4 linked regions of the Saccharomyces cerevisiae S288C genome follow. Changing the gene in region 1 together with any one later gene gives a genetic interaction. Each region holds a gene or a part of one and is shown in the gene's direction. Other genes may lie near its edges. The genes, in order: SOV1, MRX1, MIC19 and THR1.

Region 1 (9,582 bases):
AACACAGCATGCTATGACTATATACAAAACATGACTTTTCTTTATCACTAAAAGTAACTGCCAATTTATTGTCGAATCTCGCTATAGTTTGATTTTCACCAGCGGCGCGCGCAAGTATAAGCTAAGAAACAATGAATATAGATAGATAGTGATGAGCGTTGAGAACCGGGAAATGAGTAGAGACGTCCTTCTAAACAAAGATTTATACGGTTGAGACAGATTCATTGAGGAAAAGAGGAGAATGGTTAGCATGATCCATATTGTGGTGTTTTTGCTAGCAATCACAACCATGTTCGAAATACTTCCGCTAATAACCGTCCCCGTGACCAAGTACCTATCGTTATCGTCATTCAGAAACCACTATTATGGCCTGTTTGGCTGGTGTGTACGTGGTCAAAACCAAGAATTGATGTGCACGAAAATGAAGATAGGATATGACAGTACAGATGTCGACTCCTCCGGGCACGTTTTGACCCTGCCATCGAACTCAAAAGTGGTCGTCTCCAATTTATTAGTGGTTCACCCGATTTCACTGGCATTCACAGGAACGCTATTAATTTTAGCAGTGATTATCATGGTAACTCCACTAGGGGACTCACCTGAGATGTTATTGTTCACGGCCCTTTTTTCGCTGCCAACGTTCATGCTATGTCTTTTATGTTTTTTGGTAGATATTCTTCTGTTCATCTCCAAACTGGACTGGCCCGGCTGGCTAATGCTAGCCGCTACTATTAGCGTAGCACTTTGTTGTTCCATGCTGTGGGTCATGAGAAGAGTTGTGTCAGTCAAAAAATATGAATCGCAACAGTCAATTGCGCATGCGTGCTCAATGGAACAGTACTCAATTTCCGACATTTACCAGAGTAAACAGAACGGCAATAGCTCAGAATATGAAGTGGCTCCAACACATACAGATAGTCTGATTGCTCCAGAAGTGACATATAGAGGGTTCATTGAATAAGTAACATCATGTGTCATTTTGCACGTTACATCGGTTTGCCAATCGGCTTCCAAATATTTGTACATTTTTTTCTTCCTCCATCACTATCTGTTAAGGGTCTTAGAAAATGATTACTACAGTGCAAGAAATCAGCAAATGGAGAAACCTGTGCTTCATTAGGATGCAATCTCGCAAATGGTACCCAGTACTTAAAAAGACTCCTTTAGTAGCGGACGGTCGAAAGATCATTAAACATGCCGATAAAGTTCCTCATCCGGAAGAAATAATTCACCCATTTTACCAACCAACAGCAATAGAACAATTCACGGCATGCGCTACGGAATACAATCCTAGCCTGCTTGATGGCAAAAAAATTGCTCCATCACTGATAAAACACCCGGTGAGCCTAAAAACCATACTAGTTGATAGCAAATTAAAGTTTGATGATATTAGGGGAGTGAATAAATGGTTGATGGAATTCGTTGCAAGACGACAACATCAAAGAAATATTGTACTTACACCTGCGAGCAAAAGCGTTAGATCTTTTCACGTTCTGCATTTGTCTTCAACCGATATTGCCAAATTAAGAGGTCTTGAAAATATATTATCAGAGATTGAAAACACGAATGATTTGCAATCCAGGGTCGAGTCCGTAAATAATGAACTACAGAATATTTTTGACCGCGACAGTAAACAGACAAGATTATTTTGCGAGAATATACTGGCTTATTTGATAAAGAATTATGGAAACTCGACTGAAAAACTTATACTACTAATAAATGTTACTGAGATGCAATTATATTCACGTTTAGACCAAATGAAGGCCATGAACATTATTTTATATAATATCCTTTGTAAAGTGGAAGCAAATGAAAACCCACCGTACAGTCCCACATTGGTTACCGCACTAGAAAACCTATTGGCAGCGATCAACAACAGATTTTTTCCAGGGCGTTGCGAAAATTCATTGCACCCAATAGTAATTGAACAACTATTATCATATTTCATTAAAACCGGCAATTTGAATGAAAGCAAAAATTTTTTGGGCCATTTAATAAAAAAGGGTATTTTACCAGAGGCTACTATCATTAATAGATATTTGGAGGCAATTGATGTTCATTTCGATAAAAGCACTAAGATTTTTGATATAAGATCCAAATTTGCATTCATAGCAGATCTTGCACCCATAATAGAAAATTATGGAACAATAGACCTGTTCAAATTTTTGATACCTATGTGCCGGCATTTCGACGAATTGTGTTCTCTGCTAAATATTATTCGAAAATCCAATAACGCAAAACGGGCTGTGGATAGCACCTTACCTATTTTTATCAAAAAAGTATTAACATTTACTAAAGATCCAATGATCAACTCCGGAAATCTATCCACTGTTTTCAATATAGTGAGCCCAATATATGGACAAAACGTGCCCAGCGAATTCGTGGAGAAATTTATACTGTCTTTTGCACTTCAAGGAAATTACACTATGATGGCTCATATGATAGATACATATAAGATCAAACTAAGTCATAAATACCAACTACAAATTATTAGGGCTCTCAAAAATAGTGAGAGAAATCACGCGCTTAAGAATACGGGCGCTGTAGGTTATAATAAGGAATTTAAAAAGTACTTCATCGAGAAATATTTGAATTGCACTGAACGAGAAGCTTTACGCCCATAAATCGTCTATATTAAAAAAAAGGCAGCATAAGAGCAACTCACTGCAAAGGGAATTGCGCATTCCACGCAAATAAACAATGTAAATAAGAATACGTACTGTAACTGTGTCACACTAGCGGGTTGTTTTATCATAATTGTTTGGGATTAATCCTGAACAAATTTTCTATATATAAACACTGGTTCGGAATACCAATGAAGTATACATATTCTGGTTCAACAACTGTTTCTATTCAAAAACTTTGAATGTTTGAAATGCGCTACGTCTATTTGTTTGCAATTTGTATTAAGTTTGTTTCAAGCTCCGAACTAGGAAAAATCAACAATCTGCTGCAAGGAAGATTGATATACACAGATAATTCCGTTGCGACAAATGTATTAGAATCCAAATTTCCATTCTTGAAATCAACATGTGTTAAAGACGCACTAAAATTATTTTTGCCACAATGTATTGCAAATGGACTTGAATCCATTGACGCTGAAACAAGGGTAGAAACGGCCATTAAACTTTCAATATGCGAGTTTCAGGCATCTGGCTTGGGCGAAATACCAGAAAATTGCATGGTTGACGACCTAGGATCAATGATGGATTGTATGTTTGAACTAGAATCATCTTCACAGTGGTGGACAACTTATAGTGGAAATTATCAGCGACTATCGAGTATTTGTTATGAAAATCTTCTTCCTTTTGAAAAAGAACAGATACTGAAACTTTTTCTAAATATCACTGAACTTTATGATTCATTTGGGGATGATGTCGATACTAAGTTAAATCATCTGATGTTTCAAATGGAGCAAGATTCTCAAAATTTTTTGGACGATCTGGCCAGGATGTTCCGCAACTATGACAATGAACTGCGAAATGCGACCGAAAGCAATCGAATAATCTTAGAAAACGACCTCTCATTTTTTAGAAATAAAGTGAATGATGTACTCTATGAAACTTCCGAACAACTAGAGGTCCAAATCATAGAGAAGAACAGTCAACTAATGAATGAAGTTGATACCGTCCATCATATTATGAGCGATCTAGCCGATGAGCTTGCTAAAAATGACATAAAATCTAAGATAAATGACTTGAAGGACGACAGCCTGAATAATTTACAGGACCTAGTGGAAATGTCCAACGACGTAAAAGAATATTACTCTAGAAATAACAAGTTAGTTAATACCGAGTTGGAAAACTTCTCGATGGGTTTAAAAAAACAGTTAGGAGGCATGTCAAAGGATCTTTCTGAATCACAAATGGAAGCTATAGAGCTCTTGCAAGGGTTCAATTCCATCCTTCATGATTCATTGTTACCATCCATGACGGATGAGATAGTACCTGAGATGACGAACTTCAAAAATACCTTACTACAAGAATGGACAGCTATAACATCTACACTAAATGGAGATTTTGCTTTATGGAATGAGGAGATTTTTTCAACTTTTAATGATATTTCAGAGAAACTGAATGGCACAAAAAAAAAATTAGACGACATTGAAATCAGAGTCTCACTTGTCCATAAAAATGTCATGACAATGATGAGGGTATTGGATTTTATGTGGAAAACTAGTAAAATGATTATAAGATGTGGGTACCTTGCAGTCAAGAATAAATACTACTGGTTACTGTGCTCCGTTGTGTGGATTTGGTCAAAATACCGTACGTCTCGAGTAAACGTCAAAATGATTCCTATTAAACGCTATTACCAATGGGCAGCTCTTCTACTTTCAATTTATCTAGGAGCTAAGACTGGCTCATTGATTGATTTTTAACATTACCGATGTAACAATATATGAAAGCCTATATATACATAGATGTATAGGTATATAGCCGCATTCAAAGTCTAGCAAAATAAATATTCTTTAAAAATTCAAGGACACCGGATCATGGTGGCCATAATACGGGCAAGTGAACCTAGAGAAGGTGTCCTACGTCACTATCCAAGTTAATTTGCTTAAGAGAGTTCGAGTGCAGCACCTACAGCTTTATCATTGAAGACGAAGCAAAAAGATCTTGAGATTCTATATCATGGGCACAGGTAGTATTCATTAGGTAGTAGTAACGTATTAAACAAGGCCATACTATATTTATAACTCATGTTCAAATACAACCGCTCACTCTGTAGCAGCGCTTTGATAGCAAAGTCTCAGATTCGTTTTTATAGATTGAAGCGGGCGCCATTGAATTATGCCTCCCATATACCTGAAGTTCTTAATAAGACCATCATAGGGCCAGACGAACCAGAAAAATGTCTCATTTTGAAAGGAAAAACATCAGAGGAAATCGAAAATAATCTTCTCAGTAATAAGAAATTTCAGGAGATCAATCCTCTTGATACTATCCAGGAAACGTTCATTCAATATCTGAAATTTTGTAATGAAACTAACTTTAAAAGAAGTAACAAGAATTTAAACAGATTAAAAAAAACCTTAGAAAGCAAGGACTCTAATAGCACCGTAAAAATTAATGCAGTTTTCAATTATTTGCTCGAAGAGTGTGATTTAGAAATCAAAAGATTGAACACGACCGGCCAAACCCAGGTATACAATGAAGAGAAAGGAAATGAAGATGACTTAGAGCAATCCATAATGAACGATATTTTCCGATCAGCACAAGAACAATTTGAAGATCAAGAGGGCCATATACCGTTAAGGAGTACATCATTTTTACTGGAGATTTTGAAAAGTTTTAATGAACGGTTTAATGGCATAATCAAACCGAAAGAGTCAATAACAGAAATGGTCACATTCAGCCAACTTGCTCAAGCTTTTGAAGTTGTTAAATTGATACCAGTGCAAGAAATGAAGGAGAAAGGGATTTACTTGGTCGGAAATTTACTTTATGGCACAGGGAAAGTTCGTTTAGATCCTATAAATGAGTCATTCTATATTGAATCCCTACTAGTTTTTGGAAACTATAAGGCTGCATACAGTTTATTTATTACCAATAAAGACAAAGTAAACGAGCGCTGGTGGAATGAACTAGGATTAATGATCACATTAAGGTCTAACCACTTGAGAAACTTCAGGAAACTTTTAGCCGAGACAGATGCAAAGTACTCAACAAAGTATTCTTATTTGAGCCCAAGAGTTACCAAATTGAGCATACGAAAATATTTGTCGATTGGCAATGTTACTGAAGCTAATATACTGACTGATCGATTTATTAAGTTAGTGGAAGAAGTTGGAATAATCAGAATGAAAGATGAGCAGGAGGAACTTCCCACGGGAGTTAAAAATTTTCAGAATGAGAAACATGCAACTGAGTTCTTAAATGAACTAGAAATACCATCGGATCATGATTATATCAGCATTGTTGATTTCCATCTTTATAAGAGAAATATTCCCATGGCGGCTCAACTTATCAGCAAGTACATGGAAATACCTGGAACGACACAAGAAGATGCCGCATTTCTACTTGTTAAAACCAAGCTAAATATGTTGAAAGATTTTGAAAAGCTACGAAACATTTTTGCTCAAAATAAAGATTATGTAGTGCCTGAGAATAATGTGAAAATGTTGCAAGAGGCATTTGAGAGCGTTATTACTAAGTATAACACTAATTCTCCAATATACAATGAATTGCTGTTTGAGAATGTTTCGGCCTTAACAAAAAGTATTGTATTAACTGATTTTCTGGAAGAGTTCATTACTAAACAGGCTTCTGGACAGTGGATGGAATTAAACAGTGTGTCACGTTCCAGAAAGTTTAATGGCTTGTTGAACATACTTCTCGGTACAGGTGAAGAAGAAAAAGCATATAATATCTTAAAAAAACTAGAAGAAGCCTCAAAGAAATCAAAAACAGATCCAGATTTACTCTATAATCAGTTTTATTCGGAAGTTAATGCATATCATTACGCTAAATTTGTTGAATTTTATAGTCTTCAAATTCAAAATATGAAGGCACAAAATACGCCCTCATTTAGAAAAAAGGAATTTAAGCAGAAAGTGAAGTCACTTTTAAAAAGAATGCAGGAGTCAGAGGTTATCCCAAATGCTGTTTTTTTGAGAGAAATACTCAATTTTTATGATAGCATGTATGACTTTAATTCAAGTTTTGAGATCATCAATCCGCTACTTGAATCCAAACAACAGGTGAGCTCTGAGTCTTCATTATCCACCTCAAACCCTTGCCGATTTTACAACCGTCGCATCATAACAAAACCGCTGTACCACAAGATTTGGTCTGTGTATTGCCATTATTATCATGTTTTACAAAATAATTCTAGGATTTTATCGAAAAAGTCGTCCATTGTAAAGAAATTAATAAAAAGGCAGATAAAGATTCACCCAACTTGTCACCCAAGAGTATTGTTCCAAATGACGGCAGAAAATGGTGAAATTTTGCCAGACAAAACTTTTTCTAAATTAATTGTGTCCACGTTCATGAAAAGCGGGGATTTAGAAGCAATACCTGCCATATTAACGTTTCTAACGAAAAAATTTGACTTGAATATTGATTACGATTTGAGTATGTATATTCTAAAGGGTTTGAAAAGACAATATTTACGAGATATTAGTAACATCAGTAAAGATGCTTGTGAGTACAAGTTACGGAAGGCGGAGCTAATGAATAATGAGTCAATCTTAAAAAACATTCCACAGGGTACAAATCAAGAGAATACAATATCCCATTTGATCAGGGAGATTTTGATCTTTATAAAATGGAAGGAAAAAAGTGATTGTTCTACTTTCTTGATGGTAGAAGATGCTTTTAAAGAATTAGGAACAGAGTTTACTTTACTCGAAGAATTAATAGAAGATGTAAATAAGTTAAAGATAAAAGCCTAAAAAAACGGATGCATTTTATATAATTTTAGCTATACGTGTACATATTTGTAATAAAGTTAAAAGAGGAGACTGTTTAGCTTTGTATTTATTTTTTACTTAATTTCATCCATTTAGGTACTCTATTTAAAGTCTTTTTGATACTTGTAGCGTTATCAGAAGGGCCCTGTGGATTGGATTTATTTATCGTATTAACTGATGGGGTTGTCCTCGTTTCGTGTGTGATTTTTTGTGCGTCTTCCAAAAGATGAGCCTTTATTAATGGGCCATTAGAATTTGAATTTGTTTCAAAAAGCAGCATTGTTTTAGAGCCAAATTCCAGGTCATCCAGTAGCTTCTTATCGTCTTTAGCCAAGGGTTTGAAAGGATGAGATTGGTTTAACGTAAAAGGCATGTTCTCATCGATCAGGAACTGCGACACGACGTTATAAACTGTACGCATGTCTTCATTGGGTTTGAATGCTATTTGAATATGGCTTCTATCGGGGAACTTGACTCTCAGCAAACACTCAGATATAGCCTTATTTTTCTTTGGCAAGTTGTTGGCTGATTGCTCTCTAAGTCTCTTTGTCAAAATAGGACCACCCAAAGTACCAGCCTTCGATGATAACATTTTTTGGTATTTCTTGGCTTGTTCTACTGTCAATTCATAATCTTCTTCATCCTCGATTTGATCCTTGATAACTGCTAATGGCTCATCCGAGGGCAAAAACACAGAAGGTTTATGTAGTTCGTGAGGTGGTAGTGAAGCAACCGTTTCCGGGTTCGTCATCGTAGGGGGAGTTTGTTTTGGGTGAATAGCGCTATTAGCGCTAATGCCCTCAGAATGAGATGTATTATTAAAAATCAATCTAACTGACGAAGGCTCCTGAATCCCTAAATTTTCGAGAGTCAAATTCTCATCCTTAATTGTTTTGAACTCTATTATCTTGGAAAAGACCTGGATCTTAAAATCATCTCCCGCAGCGCCGCTCATCTGTCGCAAGATAGGGGCAATTGGTTGGTCAGATGGCATTTCTTTAACCACGGAATCTCTTCCTGGGATTTGAAACCGTATTTTGATCGTATTGAATGGAATATCTTCGCGGTTGGTCTTATTCGCCACCGGAAAATTACTACTTTTAGATAATTCTAAGTTGACACCCGTTGGTAAGTTTAGAAGCCTCCATGGCAAATCTAATGGCACCGGTTTATCCAAATGTATCAATGACCAGTCGTTTGACGAGGTGTGCAGTTGAAAGAATTGTATGGATTGGTGTAACACATCGTTTAGTGTTGAATTCAACGAAACTTTACATTTGAAAAGTTGGAAGTTATACTTCACGGTAACCATAGGCATTGTATTGTGCGCTTATTAGTCTGCCTTGCTATTCTTCGCAGTACGTAGATTTATCTTAGTTTTTGCATTTTTTGGTTTTCTTTTTTTTTTGCCACACATAGTACAATAAAAGAGAACTTGAATCTTTGAAGAAACGTCTAAATTAACATCGAAGATAGAAGACAGGGAAACATCTAGGATTGCAAGAAATAGTGCTGAAATTTTGTAATAAAGTTGCAAGAAATAGCATCTAGCGTTTTATAAGGCGTACATCTTTCTTGGCAAGAGTTCCAAGAGAAAAGAGGAGCAAAACAGCGGTTGAGGCGCCCGCTATCTTGAATATTATACAGTTTCTTTAAAAACGCTTGTACAACACTGCATAAACATGGACAAATTATTGAAATTGTTTCAAGATATTTCCCATATCATATTCCAATAGCGTTACTCTCTCATCGCTTATTCTGGAATCATTATTTTAATAAAGATAACTCACACGATATACGTGTACTGAGCTGACCTTTATACCTACCCTTACCTGCTTATTCCTGATAAAAATGTTCGTGCAACTAATTGTTTGATTTCTCTTGCGGCCCGGTTATTCCGGAGTTGATACTTTTTTTCTTCTGTCTTAATTACGTTTTTTTCCTCTAGACTTTTTTGATCTGGTACAATTGAAAATGTATAAATCAACTGGACCCTAAAAATAAAAAAAAAAAACGCCCATTAGAAAAGAGGATATATTGAACAAAAGATGTTGAAAGAGCCCTCAGTTCGCTTGCGGGAGGCTATTATTGAAGGCAATTTACTTATAGTGAAAAGATTATTGCGACGGAATCCGGATTTGCTAACCAACATAGACTCAGAG
Region 2 (8,673 bases), on another chromosome or scaffold:
GCACCCACTCTTTTCGAAGCTCCTACTACACACCTTCTGGAATGGCCAGCAACAGTGTACCTAATCATGCTTGGTCTTCGTATTGCTGTCTTGCTTGCTAAACAGCTTTTGCTACTTCTTCTTCGCTGATGAGAAAAGGGAGTCTACTAAATACAGTTCGGCTTAAAGTGTCGCTGGTCAGCAATCGGCCCGAAAATACATTGAACATTTGAAATTACCATGTTTCAAAACGAATATTTATTATAATTATTACTAGTAAAAGTTATACATAAGAAGGGAATAATACAAAGAAACGGGAAACAGCTAAATGTAGTATATAGCCGAAAGATGTGGACATATCCCAACAAATCGTCTTATGAGATCCTTTTTTTGTTTTATATTTTTTTTTTTTAGCGGGTATAAACGTATCATTTATATATTTTATTCTTTCCTTTAACTCTCAAAATTTGAGCAATTAGGTTACTGTGGTTCACGTGATTCAAGTGTGCACATTGCTGCTATGCTTTGTAGTATTATCCATAGAGTTTAGGGAGGGGGAATGGTCGGAGAGTGGGTAATTTGCATTGTCTAATGGAGCAGAATCAGCGTTACTTTTCTGGAAATAAAACTGGTCCGATAACGAAGTAGTAGAATCAGAGGTGAGATTGGAGTTGGAAGTGGTGTTGAGTTTGTAAAACTTTTCGGTTTGATCATGCGATACCTTGTATTTGTCATCCTTGTCATTCTTCTTTTTTTTGTTCTTCTTTTTGTTCTTAGGGTCTACCATATTGCTAGTCTTCGGGGTAGGAGACTTTGTTCCATTATTGTGATCATATTGTTTTCGAACCATGGAATTCAATAAATTAAGTGAATATTTCGGAATCCCATCTCTTTTGACATTAATCCCCTGAATACCATCCTTCGTGGCAATCATGGAGGCACCTGATGTGATGGAGCAACCTGAGTTCGTTCTCGTTATCCTATCTTCACCAGAGGCAATATTGGAAGGGCTCATTGATCTCTGATCTAAGTCCAGGTTAGTAGACCTGTTATTAGTGTAAATGGACTGATCATAGAGAGAGATGGCAGATGCAACATCTTTTGAGCTTATTGAATGTGATGAATCAGGCATTATTAACTATTCGCTTCCTTTTCTTATCTCAGCAGTTTGTGTTTTTTATTCTTATTGTTATTATCCCTTTTAACTATATATGCATAAGCTAAGTTAAATATTAAAATATTTATATATAAACGTTACAGGGCGTGTGAACACATTTGAAAAAATGCTGGAAGGTAATGGTAGATATAAGAATTGGAATAACAGGTTGATAGAGAATCGCCAAGCTAGAGAGTTCTGACAAGCGGCAAGGGGGAAGGATGAGACGCAGATACGAAAGCCGCACCATTAAACCGTAAAGAGAGAAAAATAAAGAATGACTTATTTCTCGGAAAGGCCAAATGCAATTATGCAACACGCACACATTCACACTCACACTCACACATAAACTTTGACTGAAACCAAAACTGTTGTGAGTAATAGCCTTTCTTGTTCATAAAATAGTACAAGATACAGTAAATATATATCAACTCACCTGGTATAGGGATCACTTACTGCACTGCAAAAGTGGATCGTTTGCGCAAGAAACTCCACCAATTCTAAAGAATATAATAGAAAAAGCTAATAGGAAAAGTGGTCATTTTCTGTTGATATGTTACATAGGATAAACCCAGTACGGTTTTCTATGCAATCTTGCCAAAGATACTTCTCGAAGTTGGTATCGCCATTGGAACAGCATAAAAGTAATACTTTTACTAATAGAGTCAGAATCCCCATTGAGGCAGGCCAACCACTGCATGAGACAAGGCCGTTCCTTATAAAGTCGGGCGAGTTGACACCAGGCATTTCAGCCTTGGAATACTATGAAAGAAGAATTAGGTTGGCGGAAACATTGCCTCCCAAAAGTTGTGTGATTTTAGCTGGTAACGATATCCAATTTGCATCTGGAGCAGTATTTTATCCGTTCCAACAGGAAAATGACCTGTTTTATCTTAGTGGTTGGAATGAACCTAATTCGGTCATGATTTTAGAAAAGCCAACGGATAGTTTAAGTGATACAATTTTCCACATGCTGGTTCCGCCAAAGGATGCGTTTGCTGAAAAGTGGGAAGGATTTAGGTCTGGGGTTTATGGTGTTCAAGAAATTTTCAATGCCGATGAATCTGCTTCCATTAACGATTTGTCTAAATATTTGCCCAAAATAATTAACAGGAATGATTTCATCTATTTTGATATGCTATCAACTTCTAATCCCAGTTCGTCCAATTTTAAACACATCAAGAGCCTGTTAGATGGCAGTGGGAATAGCAATCGATCATTGAATTCCATTGCGAATAAGACCATCAAACCCATCAGTAAAAGAATTGCAGAGTTCCGTAAGATCAAGTCCCCTCAAGAGTTGAGAATTATGAGGAGAGCTGGCCAAATATCAGGAAGATCGTTCAATCAAGCCTTTGCTAAAAGATTTAGGAATGAGAGAACTTTAGATTCCTTTCTTCATTACAAGTTTATATCCGGTGGTTGCGATAAGGACGCATATATCCCCGTGGTCGCTACTGGTTCGAATTCTTTGTGTATCCATTACACAAGAAACGATGATGTGATGTTTGACGACGAAATGGTTCTTGTAGACGCTGCTGGCTCCTTGGGTGGTTATTGTGCTGATATTTCGAGAACGTGGCCCAATAGTGGGAAATTCACTGATGCACAAAGAGATCTCTACGAAGCTGTATTAAATGTTCAGCGTGATTGCATTAAGTTATGTAAAGCTAGCAATAACTATTCCCTCCACGACATCCATGAAAAGAGTATCACACTCATGAAACAGGAATTGAAAAACTTGGGCATAGATAAAGTCTCCGGTTGGAATGTTGAAAAATTGTATCCGCACTATATTGGACACAATTTAGGTCTAGATGTTCACGATGTGCCTAAAGTTTCCAGGTACGAACCATTAAAGGTTGGACAAGTTATTACTATTGAACCGGGTTTATATATTCCTAACGAGGAATCATTTCCATCTTACTTTAGAAACGTCGGAATAAGAATTGAAGATGACATAGCCATTGGTGAAGATACTTACACTAATTTAACTGTTGAAGCAGTGAAAGAAATTGACGATTTAGAAAATGTCATGCAAAATGGCTTATCTACAAAATTCGAGGAGGACCAAGTGGCACCACTGTAATGTTATTGCTAAATTGAGTACACCCTGTATATACAGATACATAACTTATCGATTTAAGGTCTTTTAATATTAAACGGAAAATTCAAAAAAAAAAAAATTTACTGAAAATATCTTGAGATACTTTTCTTCAGCTTTCTTTTTGTTTTTTTCCTCTTCTTCTTGGGCACTGCTCTTTAGTTTTTATTTTTAGTTACGGCAAAATAAAGATGGGTCTAAAAATTACAAAAGGACAGCTGAGAACCAAGGATCTGAATCAATCATCCTCAAAGTCATCGCAGTCTTCAAGAATAGGTGTAGACACTTGTATATTTACTAGAATGCTACCCCGAATAAACACTGCAATTAATCTCACAGAGCATCTGCTGAGAAGATCTTTTCATTCACTGACAAATCTACAGAAAACTCAAGTAAAAGAAAGACTACATGAGCTAGAACGTCACGGTTTCATATTAAATAAAACATCCAAACAATTGGAAAGGATAAATTCTAAGAAAAGAAGACAATTGAAAAAACTGCAAAAGACAGCATACCCCAAGGATCAAGCTTTTCATATTCTTCGAAAATTTCATAAAATAAATAATGAGGCATTAGCAGATACAAAACTGGGGCCAACTAGCCAAAGCGACTTGAAGTTCCTATCCTTAACCAAAGATAAGAGACTCTTTTATACCATACTAGGCGTCAATGGAGAACAGTTACGTGATTCCAAATTAATCGCCAATGATGTTCAAAAATTTTTGAAAAGAGGACAACTGGAAAAAGCTGTCTTTTTGGCTAGGCTAGCTAAAAAGAAAGGCGTCGTTGGGATGAATTTGATTATGAAATATTATATCGAAGTTGTGCAGTCCCAACAAAGTGCTGTAGATATCTTCAATTGGCGAAAAAAATGGGGAGTCCCTATTGATCAACATTCCATCACAATCCTCTTTAATGGGCTCTCAAAACAAGAAAATTTGGTCTCAAAAAAATACGGAGAACTTGTTTTGAAGACTATAGATAGTTTGTGTGACAAAAATGAGCTCACGGAAATAGAATATAATACCGCTTTGGCGGCACTGATAAATTGTACCGATGAAACACTAGTGTTCAAACTTCTTAATAAAAAGTGCCCAGGTTTGAAAAAGGATAGTATTACATATACCTTAATGATAAGATCTTGTACCAGGATTGCCGATGAGAAACGTTTTATGGTGGTACTCAATGATTTGATGAATAAAATACCAGACTATTGTGTCGATTCTAAATTGTTATTTGAGTACTGTGAAGTAATATGTAGCCAGAAGTCACCAAAGATTGAGAAGCAAGGAATGGGACTATGGGCCCTCTGTGAATATTTTCAATTTGATAAGACCATTTTCAAGAAGTATTTGACACAAAGCGATTTTCCTACGTTAGTTCCACTAAGTCATTGGAACATCAATAAGCCATTTCCTCTCAACAAACATGTTGTGGGATTGTTTATGAATTACTGTTTGAAAAACAAGGAATATGATCTTGCTATGGAAATATTTAAGACATTAGAGGCACAGAACAACCAAATGTTAGATCAGAGCATATACCACAAATACATGGAAACTGTCATAACAACGAGGCCCATCACTTGCGGCGACGAGTGTCTGGACATTTATGAACGGGTAGCCTCGTCGGCACAAATCTCAATAACCAGGAGGACGTTAATTTTGGTGTACAACGCATTCCAAAGACAAAGTCTCAAGGCCGTTATAAACAAAGATGCATCAAATGCTGAAGCTACTTTGCACAAGATTCGGGGGTTTATAGATAGCGTAGAGGCCACATACTCATCAAAGTTGAACGGCAAAGTTTACAGGTTTAATTCATGGAAGTTCCTGTTTCCTATCGTTAAAAATCTGAACATGAATGATAAAGTGTCTACAGTGGAACTGAAAAGTATACTAGATGAATACTTGAAATCTTTATTGAATGGTGAGTTCGGGAAGGAATTTAAAGCGAGCATAGAAGACAAGCGGTTTGTTACGTTGGAGGGAATTCGTTTAGTCAAGGTTTTAACCGAGAGAATCAAGCTTCCGTCACTGGACAGTGAGGAAATAGCCAGTTTAAAAGGCACGGAAAGAAAGAAGTTTCTTGCCAGAAGGCACCTTTTGAGGCTGAAGCAAATATTACTGGAAGATTTAGCGGACATTGAAGGCAACTCAAGAAGGAAGGGTGATAGCGAAAATACAAGTACCAGTGAAGAGCGCATCATGGAGGACTTGGCCGAGCTGATACTTGAAACCAGCTATGACAAGTTTTAAGTAAAAATTGATTATTTACTCCTTTCAATATGTACATAGTTTTGAGGTTTTTTCAAATTTTTTTCCTATTTTTTTTGTTAATTGAAAGTTACTGATGATAAATTATTCAAAGGTGGTGTTAATTAAGAATGAAAGTACATCTTCCTATACTATGAAGGAGAGGTTCATATAACACGCGCAATTGGCACGTCTTAAGTATCATCAGTACAATATAGTGGTATGTCAGGTAAATATAACATGTTCAGTGTAACAACTCATATTTTCCACGTATATATTGGATCTGTAACTCAATTGCGTCATTGTCTACATATTGCTTTTAACAGTTTCATTATTCTGTTACTGTTGCAATTATATATAAGCGTATAAGAGATGTGCCTAAGTATACGATGAGAACGCACATAATGTTATTATATCAACTCGCCTGTATATTTTTGTACTACTTGTTCCAACACGAAAATAAACCAAAGTAAGAAGGGTTAGCACCTTTTTTTGCAAGAGAAATCGCTCTTCAACTATTTTAAGTCAATCCTATGAAAAAGGGTTTGCGCCAGATTTCCAGGGACAAAAAAGAAAGTTTTATGTAAGACTAGATTGTGTTGATATCTCGAGCAAACTGTTAACCATTTTAAACCAATATAGTAATAAGTGTGAATAATCGTTCATCTCTAAACAATATGTAAATAATTCTAAAGAACAAAATATTTTGTCATTATCATCAACCTGTGAGCACTGAAAAAAAATTAATTCTAAAATGGTGCTCCATTTGCAAATATTCTTTCTATTTCCCTGACTCCCGCTAATCGGTTTTATTAGTGAAGAATACAGCCGTGGATTGAAAAACAAACTGGTTCAAGTCATTAACTGAAGTAATGCGACCACATCTTATACAAGAGGCAATGCTTTCTAACAGTTTTACATTATTCAAAATCTTCACATAGCCGTAACTTAACTTATATAATAACCGCATATTGGGCTCTTCTGAAAGAACTATTATAAGAAAGATACAAAAGCAAGCAATCAATCCAAGGGAGAAAAATGACCTCAGGATACTATACCGTCTCATTTTTTTATGCGATCTTATTGTTATGCGCATGCACACGTGCTGAGATCTACCTGACGGGCGGTGAAAGCCAGGGCTTGCCATCAGGATTCTGGCAAATGGACGATGATTTGGCAATCGCTCCAGTTTCTATGGTTGAATTTTACCAGACGATAGGATTAACTGCAAATGGTACTGTACCTGAGTCCTTCAACAAGCGTGATGCTACTGAATACCCTAACATTATCAGTAATATAACTACCCAAGCAGCCAACTTCACTCAGCATAGTCTCGTCGAGCAACTTCAAAATGACGTCACGGCAATAAGTATCAGTAATGCCATTAATGTAGCCGTCGATGGTTCTGTGGAAACACCAGCAGACCTGCAATACAACCGCAACCAGGAAACAGGTGAATCTACCCTCTGTAGAGCCAAGTTTTACGGAGTGGAGGTAAGAACTTGGTCTAGGTTGTACAATAGGGCCGTCTCTTCCACAACTCTTACGACTAATTTGAACAGCTACATAGCGCAATGGGTAGCATGGGCCGTTCACGGGAGCGGTGACAAGAAGTTTTGCGGCAGCCAGGAGTTCACGAATATCTTTTTTGATGGGCAAGAGGGTTGGAGTTTGTTTGTCAAGACGTGGTCAACAAACAGTAGCTGTGATATTACAGCCTCTGAAGGAAATTTAACATGTGCAGTTCGTGTTTCAGTATCCAGTATGCACAATCACGGCAAGACAGCGTTTTGTGTTACCTATAGCCACGGTGATTCTTGGCGTGCCGAGCTGAGAGTAGTTGCCAATGATGCTTGGTCCCATTATTATCCCTGGAGTATTGACTGTCCAGAAGTTGATAAAAATAATATGGCTATTAATGATTGTTTTGATCAGGCGCAAGGTTAACGATTGAGTTTCCCATAATTTTTACCGCTCTCCTCTTGGTTGAGACGTATGCGAAAAGCTAATTCGACGTTTTTTATTGTAAAATCGTACACTTTTGCAGGCAATTCTACATATTATATAAGATTTAAGTCGGATCTTGAGACTTTTGGTGAACTTTGAGATGATTGTTGGGATTCCGTTGTTGATAAAGGCAATAATATTATGTATACAGAATATACTAGAAGTTCTCCTCGAGGATATTAGAATCCTTACAATGGACTTGATATTTCTACATAAAAATATTACGATTATTCCTCATTCTGTTTTTTATGTTTCACCATCCAACAGATCTAAACTCATTTCTTCAGGTATTTATAACTTTGATTGGTTCATCTTAGGCATACTCAATCTTACCTTTTTCATGCGTGTAGGAACGAAACTCTAAAATCATCTACGGGTTAAAATTGCTTATACGGAGGTACCCCGTGTTGAGATCCAACACATACAGAAATTCTGGGCACATGGCGCAGTTGGTAGCGCGCTTCCCTTGCAAGGAAGAGGTCATCGGTTCGATTCCGGTTGCGTCCAATGAAATCTTTTTGTACCAAGTTTTTCTCTGTTTTTGTTAGACCGCAAGCGAGTTTACCGAATCACAGCCCACCTCACCCCACAGGAAAACAGCAGCAGAACGGCTGCTAAATGACTATTAACAATAAGAGGTTTTCGGCTACTTTCGCTGCTTGCTCGTTAAATCCGTTCACTGGTAGCGAACCTCAACGACAGATGTCTATGTATGCTATACGTAAAATCACCCCCATTATGGCCATTTTATGTGTCGCCACTGCTACACACCCACCGATGTGTATGTACTTCTAATATCTAACCAGACCAGACCCCACGCTTTTTCTGGCATCTCCTGCTGCCATCTTGGTGTAGTGAGCGGAAACTTTAAACATTAAACAGAATGGCGGCGACTTTGAGATTTGGGCCCGCTGACGCTGAACGAAAAGAAAAGACCTTCATGAAAAAAATATTTTGCGGCAAAACGTCATCGGAGAACACAGCGCAGCGAGAATGTGGTGTTAGCCAGACCCAACAGTTTGCGCACCTGGCATGGATGGATGCAGATAGGTAGTGTTCGATGCGCAAGAGTCCAATCTTCTCCTCGCCATTTGCACCGGCGGATGTAACACTATATTTTCATTGACCTTAGCGGTTTTCTTTCTTTGACATGTAACATCATCACTTCAAGC
Region 3 (6,962 bases), on another chromosome or scaffold:
CGATAGGTGTCATTACGTATACTTTGCTTTGCGGTTATTCGGCGTTTAGAGCCGAAAGGGTTCAAGATTTCCTTGACGAATGCACAACTGGTGAGTATCCAGTGAAGTTTCATAGGCCTTATTGGGATTCCGTTTCCAATAAAGCAAAACAATTCATCTTGAAGGCTCTTAATTTGGATCCTTCAAAGAGACCGACCGCCGCAGAACTCTTGGAAGATCCATGGATTATTTGTACCGAATTGAAGACGCACAATTTATTGCCTGGGTTAAAGGAAGGATTGGATGCTCGTCAAAAGTTCCGTAATTCTGTTGAGAGAGTCAGATTAAACATGAAGATCCAGAAATTAAGAGATCTGTATCTTGAACAGACAGAGAGTGATTCAGATTTTGACGAAGGAAGTCAAGCAAACGGTTCAGTTCCTCCATTGAAAGCAACGGATACCAGTCAACTATCCAAGAAGCTATCAGAAGAAGAACAGTCTAAGTTGAAGTCCGAGTTAACCAGCAAAGCTTTTGCACAATTAGTTAACACAGTGCTTGCCGAAAAGGAAAAATTTTTAAATATTAACAGAGTCTGTAGTTCTGATAGCGATCTTCCTGGGAGTGATATAAAGTCTTTGGATGAGGCGAAGGAGAAACCAGAGGGGAAGGATACCAAAACAGAAGAATGATAACAGTATGCCGTTTTACCACACTGGCGAATAAATCTTCAATGACTTTGTAAGCTCGAATATGCGCAAGATTTGACTTTGATATTTTGCACTTTTTCGTCCTCACTTTCTACCTTTTTTTTTTATGCCTTAGTTGAAAAGATACGCGTATCTAATTATGTACTAATAGTCTTAATTTTACATTACTTAATTAATCGAAATGCAGCCTGTAAGGAGTTTCACAATCTTCACGTTCGTTGAAAGCTAGTTGTCTAAGTGCGCTGCCTTTTAACTCTACCATCATCAAAAGAAGAATCATTGTCGTTGTCATCATAAATATCAGCTTCGTCGTCTTCTTCATCATCGACATATTCCTCGCTATCATATTCCGTATTATAGTTTACAGTCTGTCGCTGTATCCTTCTCAACTGTCTCTTGCCTGGCTTCATGTCTGCAAATTGCACTTTCATTTGTTCAAACTGACGAAGAATGAAATAGTAATCAGATAAAAATTCCTTTAATATCTGTAACTTCTTTCTCGCAGTGTTATATTTTGCGTCTTTTGGTAGCGGGTTTGTATTTATGGAGGGATTATTATCAGTGGTAGATTTCTGCTCCAATATGTGCGCTTCATTATTCAGTGCTTCTTTTTCTTTTTCATTTCCCTCCTTTTTCTCATCTTGAGGTTTAACAATTTTATAGTCCAAGAACTCCAAGAACTCCAGCAGTGTTGCTGAATCGTGGCATAATTCATACCAATAAACCTTCCCCGATGTATTTCTGCCTCGTGCAACATCATGCGCCAACGATGGTGTGTCATGGTAAAACAATTTGAATTGGGCACTCATCGATTGTCCATCATTTTCAAACAGTGTAAAAGCGTTGTATTCATTATTTTTGAATTTCGATAGCAATGCTTGTAGATTTCTCAAATCAGTGAAGGTGCTCATTTCGAGTGAGTCCCCATAACTGTGTAATCTTGGCATATAAAAATCACCTATATGGGGAACTCTACCAAGGAAGAACTCTTGTAATCGCAATTTATAAAGTCTTTCCGAAAAAGGATTGGCTAATGGTTGATCAGGTAATTCGCCTTCAAACAATGGGACCCACTTGTCGTACAGTGAGAACAAAAGTTCATCCTTTTCGGATTTTACAGCGTTCTTCAATTCCGCTTTAATTTCCTTCAGTATTTCTAGCTTCCTTGATAAATCTGGTTTTTTACCCTCTTTTAGTTGTTTAACAAAATGTTTTTTCTTACTTCTGATTTCATATCTTGATTGAATTAGTGAGCAGAGTTTTTTAAACTGATTTATGGTATTATCTACCCCTTCAATTGTATACCTAGGCACTTGTTGTGTTTGGATGCCAAAAACGGGATCTTTTTTACCATGAGTTAATTTGTATATCTCGTCATGAATAGCAGATGAATGGGAAGCGCACCAGTCAGTTAACGCCCTCAATAAAACAACGCGATCCATTGGTTTGAGCGCCAAAATTCCATTCTTGTCCATTTCTCGATTATACAAAGGATTTGATTCCAATGGGAGTGGTTCATTAGCATTCCAGGTATATATATTTGGCGTTAAAATTTCTGGATGACTGGGATCCACCACTGGTGTTTGTTCATCTTGTTCAAAAAGAGCAGTTTTAGGTTTGGAGATATCTTGGTCACTGGGGAGTTGTTGACGCCATTCTCGTGGATACCCCCATTCGCGAGCTACAAGTCTTAACCGATAAAGAGGATTGGAAAATACTTTCTTGGAGGACGATTTTAGATTCTCCCAGGTTGTTAATGGACCTTTCTTCTTGGCACTTTTACCATCAAAATTTTCAGTAAATGTTAAATCTAACAAGGATAGGAACAGTAAATTCATTTTGTCTTGGCAATAGACGATATCCTTGATGGCCATAAAATCAGGATATAGCAATAAGGAGGTGTCTTCAGGACCCTTCACTATACCAGCTGCGCTTCCATTAGGATCGCCGGGATACAAATCTAAACCGACCTCAAAATCTTGGAATGATAAATTTTGTAGGTCAGAATGGAAAAAAGAACTAAACTTATTTATGAACGCCATCAGCTTAATGATATCTCCAGCATATGGCACAGGCTTCATGTTCGGATTTTTTAACCTAGAGATGACACTATACTGGTTCTTGAAATCAGAAGTAAGCAAGGGTATTACAGAAGTCCAATTGCTAGGGATCAAAGCGGGTTCTACTTGTTCATGGGCTGGTTTAGGTTTCGGCGCCACTTTTTTGTCATTAGTCTTCAGTGTAGGTTTGCCATCCTTAGCAATTGAGGTAGTCTTCTTTTTCTCTACTTTATCATTTGATTTAGAGTTCTGTGTGGAAGGTGCCTTTTTCTTAGGAGGAGCAGGTCTCTTCCTCTTGGGTTTATTCGCCCTTTCCTTTAACTCTTCCTCGTATTCATCATAAATGCTCGTTCTTGGCTTAGGAACACGTCTTGATCTCCTTAAATTATCAGAAGATTGTGAAACACTAACACTTTGATCGGTTTGTAAGGGCATAGCCATTGATACGCGATCATGATCATGGTCAGCAAGCTGTGCGGAAGAGCTGCCCTGGGCTTCTTGCTGCAAATTCTGGATAGAATTGGATGGAGAATCCATAAACAATAGGGGATTGCAAACTTTGCTTGAAGTACTTGGTAAGTGATAGTTTTGTTGGCCGAAACCAATGTGGAAGATATCACCATCTTAAGAAATTAAGTCCATTCATTAGTATAAACTCACGTAATTTCAATGAATTTGTTAAAGTTTCAGCAAATCGTGAAGCACGATATTTCACTTTTATGATCCGAGAGGGAATATTACTAGTACTTCCACGCATAAGGAAAGTCAATGTTAACAAATACCGCCATACCGCCATACCTGTCCTCTGTAGTCACTGCTAATGTTAATGTAAATAAATTACATCTAAAAGTTGTTTTCTCTTCAGTAATTTTAGAAACCGTTAAGAGGAAAAATGGGCACTTCCTTTCTTTGTTTCAGAAATTAAGCTCAAAAAGATGGGCTCGATAAAAGTAGCATACTATTTACTCTATCTTATTTTTATTTTCTATATACTAGTCTATCAGACTCAGACGTCAACGATGTGGAATACGGATGGAATCATTAAATAGTAGCAAGAAGTACTTTATTCTTATTTTTCAAATTGCGGCGCGCCAACAAAACGCGTACAAAAAAAGCAGATTGGATAGTACTTTATTCTTGTTATTTTGTCATTGGAAAGTATAAGCTGGTTGTGGATTACTCTTCACACGATGTGCCTGTTTTTTGTAGGCGGGCTTGTACTTTCTGGGGAGCATGCTGTGTATGTTGTAGGTCTGTGGCAATGTTTGTCGGGAGTGTTCGCTGTTACCATGAGTTGTCTGTGAGTAGTAGCGATTGTAATTGTGGTTGTATCCTACTGGTCTTCTTCGGGAATACCAAGGAATGAAAGAGTTATGAGGAACCTCACTTTGATCCTGGTAATTATTTGGTTGTTGTAGTTGATATTGGCGGGGCTCTGTGAGACAATGATTTTTTTTTGAATATATTTTAAAGCAATCGGCTGATTGGGTAGCCTCAACGCCAAATAACCAAGGAGGGTCGTAGTTATCTTGTGAATGGCTTGAGATTCCCTCATAATATAAAATATTTGCCTTTTTTTTTTCAGTAGGCATTTCCACATTTTCTTGCTTTGCAGGTAAGTCGGTTATATTGATTTCATCCAAAGATAAGGATTTTTGATTTTCAACATGCCTTCTAGAAAATATTTGTTTACCATTCAACTTTGGAGCGAAGAAACTCACCAAACCTGCTTGCTTCAATGGAGATTTGATTTCAGGCGGTGGTTCATCTTGATTTGTTACCGCCAGTTTATCTTGATTGGGATCTAAGGTCCTTGGTAGATCATTAAAAAGACTTGTGATGTCATACACAGATTGGTCTGTGCCCTTAGTTGTTTGTGGATAATTTTCGCCAAGGGAACTTGATGTTTGACTCGTTCCATATAGTTTGAGAATACTGTCTACGTTCTCTATACTAGCTTCTTTAGCTATGTTTTCTGTCTGACTGCGCAGACGTATCAAACCTAAAACTGAGAAAATGCACGCCAATAACGAGCAGAGGGAACAGGGAACAGTTAGCCAGCCACACCAAGTCGTATAAGGATGAAATTGTAACAGGATCACGGTGCATGCAAAGTAACAGGATCACGGTGCATGCAAAAATAGTTGATAAAAGTGTCAATATGTGTAATATAGCGTTGGAAGTAATAAGTGAGACATTAGTTCCTCCAGTCTGAAAAAGAAAAATAATAACCAAGGGAAGTGCAAAAGAAATGAAAGTCAAACATGTAGCAACCGGTATCGAAATCAAAAGTCCTCCTATTGTATGTCTTGCCTTAGGACTCAGCCACCAACGTTCAAGAGAAGGGCCAGGTAATATTTCTTTCGAGGTGTTATATATTAAACGTACTCGAGAGCAGGAAAAAGAATTCAAAGTTTTACAGTAACCAAAGGTACCATATGAAACTCCAGCAGCTTGAGCCAGCCCCCAGTTTCTAATTATTGGTGAAGTTAAACAACATATCATAAAGCCAGAAAAAGAGATTAATTGTAGGAAAGAGGAAAACAATAAAATCAATTTATAATTTAGCATCAATTATTGAATATGGTACCAAAAAAAAAAAATTAGCAAAAAAAGGCAATTTTCTCACCTTCTTGTAATTATTACGCGTAAGGACAGATCATAAAAGTGTATTTCATCCTCAATCATCAATTAAATAATTTATTTATTAACATTCATATATATTTATATTTTCGTTTGCAATTTCGCAATTTTAATATGTCACAAAAAAAGCGCCCACAGAATTATCAAGAAGACCAACCAAATCAATAATAAAATTCGGCAAATAACATTATTAGATTTTTCATGAGATTTAAGAAATACTTGTTCTGTTGTTTAACTGATGGTTTATTACTTATATTTAAATATTGAAAGCTGCAAGATTTAAAAAAATATCTCCCGGGGGCGAGTCGAACGCCCGATCTCAAGATTTCGTAGTGGTAAATTACAGTCTTGCGCCTTAAACCAACTTGGCTACCGAGAGTCGTTTTTGTTGTAAAAAACTACGAATATTCGTGGTATGTCGCATATATATATATTTCTTCTTCCAATGAGACGCAGAGGAAAAAACAAGTGAGGAGGAACATTTCAAAGAGATTGCTAATCAAAAAAAAATTCAAGAACAAAAACAAGGTGGTATATCGACTAATACAGAGTCAATCATGGGTTCAAACACTTCCAAAGTGGGTGCTGGTGCAGAAAAACAACAAGTCTATACTCCGCTAACACAGATCGATTTTTCACAGTCTTTGGTTTCTCAATTGGATTCATCGAAGGAATCAGACTATGTCACCAAGCAAAATGCAGAAAAGTTCATTGAGAAGAAGGTTTCACAAAGGCTATCTAACCTAGAAGTTGAAACGTTAAAGAAGTTTGAAGATACTTTGAACAATTCACTATTATCAGACGACGACAAGGATGCCGTTGATGGAATATCATCAAGTTCATTGAATAATCAAATCGAGTCGTTGAACAAGAAACTAACATTATTTGATCAATTAGAGTTACAAAAGTTGGAGAAATATGGGGGTGCCAAAGGTAAATCTGATAAAAAAACCGACAACGGCAGCATTTCTATAAAGGCAAAATTGACTGAGTGTCTTTTGGCCAATAAGGGCAAGCCATTGAATTGTTACGAAGAGATGGAAGAATTCAAGAAGCTCGTTATGGGTTGAATAAGAAAAAGTATACATAAACTCGACCAAAAAGAATTCGCCATTTCATGTATATAAAATGCATTTTTATCGATTGGCGGATGAACGTAAAAGGGAGAGAAATATTTTTATGTGTATGTAAAAAAATGTATATGTATATTCCGAAAAAACTATTAATTTTGAAAAAATGAAAAATGGACTTACAGACCAAATCCTTTATACATTAAGATCAGTGCACTATCACTTTCGCCCCCACCGGCTAAAGATTCAATTTTTTCCTTTTCAACAACGCTAACTTTATCATCATTAAATTTGTACCATTTATTTTCGTCCAGTTCGTCCCTTATGAAAGCTTGATAGTGTCCAGACTCAGAATTGGCACCTTGATGTGTAATGACACCGATCAAGTTATAAACACAAGATGGGTTTTCACCTTTTTCCAAGTTTGGAGGAAAATGTTTCTTATACTCTTCGAGCCATTGATCTTTTTCACTTTCGTTAAGAGCCACTTGTGTCTCATA
Region 4 (3,084 bases), on another chromosome or scaffold:
CGTGAGATATCATCTGGCTTCAAATCTTCGATCTTACTTATCATTTCGTTGACTGGGATTTTGCGACCATGCATGAGAACTTGTCTGCCCATATCTTCCAATTCTACCAGTTTAGACTCTAGGTTCATTAGTAGTGAAGACTTCAACTGATTCTTGGCCCTGGAGACTTCGTCTTCAGTTAACCTCAAATCCTTATTAGCAAATGTATTATACATTTGCTGTGCAATTACCTCAACCGCTTGAGGAGCTGCCTGCGGTATACAAGATAATGAAATACCGAAAATACCAGAATCCGAATAAGAATGGTTGAACGCAACACAATTTTCAACAAAGTAATACTGGTTCAAAACGTGGGTATACAAACGAGAATACATCCCCTTTCCTGGCCCACCAGCACTGAAAGAACCACCACCTCCAAGTAAAGTTTGTAATGTTGCTAAAGCATAAATGTCTGGATGATCTATAGGGAGACCTTCAAATCCGATCTGGATGTGGAATAATTCTGGTAAATTCCCAAACACTGGTGCTGGTGGAATACAACTTTCCCCGCCCGTATATTGGGCAACTTTTTTGGTGATCGGAGGGTGTGTAGATTGCCAGTCACCGAGATACTTTTCTGTAAGCTCTAATGCCTTTTCGTGAGGAACACCAACAAATGCCGCAACAGTATTTTCTGGGGTGTAGAATTTATTTCTGTAGTCCAATAAGTAGTATTTAGAAATAGAAGGAATGAGCTCTCTAGGGCAGATTAAAGGGGACCCCAAAGTTTCTCCGGAGTATGCTGCTGTGTGCAACAGCTCAGGTAATACCAATTCTGGCTTCATCCAAACTTCATCGATTTCATACTCTGCCGACAGCTTCTGTTCTTGCAGTTCTTGCTCAGTAATCTTAGGGAACCTCACAGTTTCTGACATTAATTGAAGCATTTTACCCACATCCTGGTTGAACACAGAAGCCTGATACATCAAATTTTCTCTAGACGAGGTACACTGGTAATTCCCACCCAGTAACTCCAACGTCTCTGCCATTGCTCGGCCCTCGACGTGTTCGGTTGATTTGAATGCTAGTCTATCCAAGATATGTGTACAACCCTTCAAATTCCTACCTTCAAACCGTGATCCTGCGTCGATGTATAGGCCTAAGGCACTAAAGTGTCCAGGAGTATTTGATGTCGCCACTTTCAGTCCATTCGCTAGTGACGAAAGCTTAAAATTATCGGTTCTAGCGATGTTAGAGTACAACCTCTGAACGCCGTTCCTTAGCATCTTTTGTTATTAATCAGCTCTCTGCTTTGCATTAATTTGACCACCTGCCCTGAAACACCTTTCTTCTAGTCCACCTGTGTAGGCTTTTTCACCTGAATTGTTCATTCTCGATACGCCCTCACGCCGGATGAAAAATTTGTGCAAGAGTCATCATCTCGAAAAGATATGGTGATAAAAACAAGTGTACTTCTAACCTGCCTAATGGTTATAACAGTAGCATAAAGTAGATATACGGACTACAGAAAATGGTTCGTGCCTTCAAAATTAAAGTTCCAGCTTCTTCCGCCAATATCGGCCCTGGTTATGATGTTCTTGGTGTCGGTCTTTCTCTATTCTTGGAGTTAGATGTCACCATCGACTCCAGCCAAGCTCAGGAAACAAACGACGATCCCAACAACTGCAAGCTGTCTTACACTAAAGAAAGTGAAGGCTATTCTACGGTCCCATTGCGTTCTGATGCTAACCTGATTACCAGGACTGCGTTATATGTGTTGCGTTGCAACAATATTAGAAACTTCCCCTCCGGAACCAAAGTTCACGTCTCCAACCCAATCCCACTTGGCCGTGGATTGGGTTCCTCTGGTGCAGCAGTTGTGGCAGGTGTTATTTTAGGTAACGAAGTGGCCCAATTGGGTTTCTCTAAGCAACGTATGTTGGACTACTGTTTGATGATTGAACGTCATCCAGACAACATAACCGCTGCTATGATGGGAGGCTTTTGCGGTTCATTCCTAAGGGACTTGACCCCACAAGAGGTGGAAAGACGTGAGATTCCATTGGCTGAGGTGCTTCCAGAACCTTCTGGTGGTGAAGATACCGGTCTGGTTCCCCCATTACCTCCCACCGATATCGGTAGACATGTCAAATACCAATGGAACCCCGCCATTAAATGTATTGCGATCATCCCACAGTTCGAGTTGTCCACCGCCGACTCCAGAGGCGTTCTTCCAAAAGCCTACCCAACCCAGGACTTGGTTTTCAATCTACAAAGATTGGCCGTCTTGACCACAGCTTTGACCATGGACCCACCTAATGCCGACTTAATCTACCCTGCTATGCAAGATCGTGTCCACCAACCTTATAGAAAGACATTGATCCCAGGTCTCACGGAAATCTTATCATGTGTCACCCCATCCACATACCCTGGCCTATTGGGTATCTGCTTGTCAGGTGCAGGCCCAACTATCTTGGCTTTGGCCACTGAGAATTTCGAAGAAATCTCTCAAGAAATTATCAACAGGTTCGCCAAAAACGGCATCAAGTGCTCCTGGAAACTACTGGAGCCTGCCTACGATGGTGCTAGCGTCGAACAGCAATGAAATGTCCTTTACCCCTAGTATACTGTGTTAAATACTATTGTAGACCATATACATACTGTAATTGACCGTTAACGGTTATTATGCTGAGTCTTCTTCCGTTACCCGTCTTTTCTATCTATTTCGAAAATAAAAAATAAGTGAAAAGAACGAAATTTCACAACCATTAACAATACAGATAATGAATCGAAGTTGTTTTCAGTCTCAATTCAAAAGACTCATAGCCAAGGCCAGTTGATTGATTTAGCCACAAGTATCATTCAACGTAATATCCACAGGTGTTTTTTTTCTCACCGGAAGGCGAATAAAATACAGGAGCTAGAGCGTGTAAGATAATGAACAAGGAATCTAAAGATGATGATATGTCCTTGGGGAAGTTTTCCTTCTCCCACTTCCTATATTACTTGGTGCTAATAGTAGTAATAGTGTACGGTTTGTACAAGCTTTTCACTGGACATGGATCCGACATTAATTTCGGGAAGTTCTTGTTAAGGACATCCCCT

Evidence for each region.
Region 2: mutations in SOV1 (region 1) and MRX1 impair growth when combined (synthetic growth defect), as found in Saccharomyces cerevisiae (one study listed by BioGRID).
Region 3: mutations in SOV1 (region 1) and MIC19 impair growth when combined (synthetic growth defect), as found in Saccharomyces cerevisiae (one study listed by BioGRID).
Region 4: mutations in SOV1 (region 1) and THR1 impair growth when combined (synthetic growth defect), as found in Saccharomyces cerevisiae (one study listed by BioGRID).

The regions. Positions count from the first base shown.
Region 1 is NC_001145.3:396,836-406,417, forward strand, and holds SOV1 (Sov1p), read left to right. Parts: upstream 1-4,705; coding exon 4,706-7,402; downstream 7,403-9,582. Other genes in the region: RIM9 (Rim9p), read left to right, coding at 242-961; AEP1 (Aep1p), read left to right, coding at 1,068-2,624; KAR5 (Kar5p), read left to right, coding at 2,867-4,381; UBX4 (Ubx4p), read right to left, coding at 7,488-8,738; AVO2 (Avo2p), read left to right, coding at 9,469-9,582.
Region 2 is NC_001137.3:311,358-320,030, reverse strand, and holds MRX1 (Mrx1p), read left to right. Parts: upstream 1-3,430; coding exon 3,431-5,497; downstream 5,498-8,673. Other genes in the region: AIM9 (Aim9p), read right to left, coding at 1-68; YER079W (uncharacterized protein), read right to left, coding at 479-1,111; YER078W-A (uncharacterized protein), read right to left, coding at 1,221-1,385; ICP55 (aminopeptidase), read left to right, coding at 1,689-3,224; YER076C (uncharacterized protein), read left to right, coding at 6,533-7,441. UniProt on the Saccharomyces cerevisiae protein: Component of MIOREX complexes, large expressome-like assemblies of ribosomes with factors involved in all the steps of post-transcriptional gene expression.
Region 3 is NC_001138.5:166,246-173,207, reverse strand, and holds MIC19 (Mic19p), read left to right. Parts: upstream 1-5,949; coding exon 5,950-6,462; downstream 6,463-6,962. Other genes in the region: calmodulin-dependent protein kinase CMK1, read left to right, coding at 1-671; IOC3 (Ioc3p), read right to left, coding at 923-3,286; YFR012W-A (uncharacterized protein), read right to left, coding at 3,898-3,984; DCV1 (Dcv1p), read right to left, coding at 4,712-5,320; ubiquitin-specific protease UBP6, read right to left, coding at 6,642-6,962.
Region 4 is NC_001140.6:157,928-161,011, forward strand, and holds THR1 (homoserine kinase), read left to right. Parts: upstream 1-1,510; coding exon 1,511-2,584; downstream 2,585-3,084. Other genes in the region: MAS2 (mitochondrial-processing protease subunit alpha), read right to left, coding at 1-1,265; VMA16 (H(+)-transporting V0 sector ATPase subunit c''), read left to right, coding at 2,917-3,084. UniProt on the Saccharomyces cerevisiae protein: Commits homoserine to the threonine biosynthesis pathway by catalyzing its O-phosphorylation.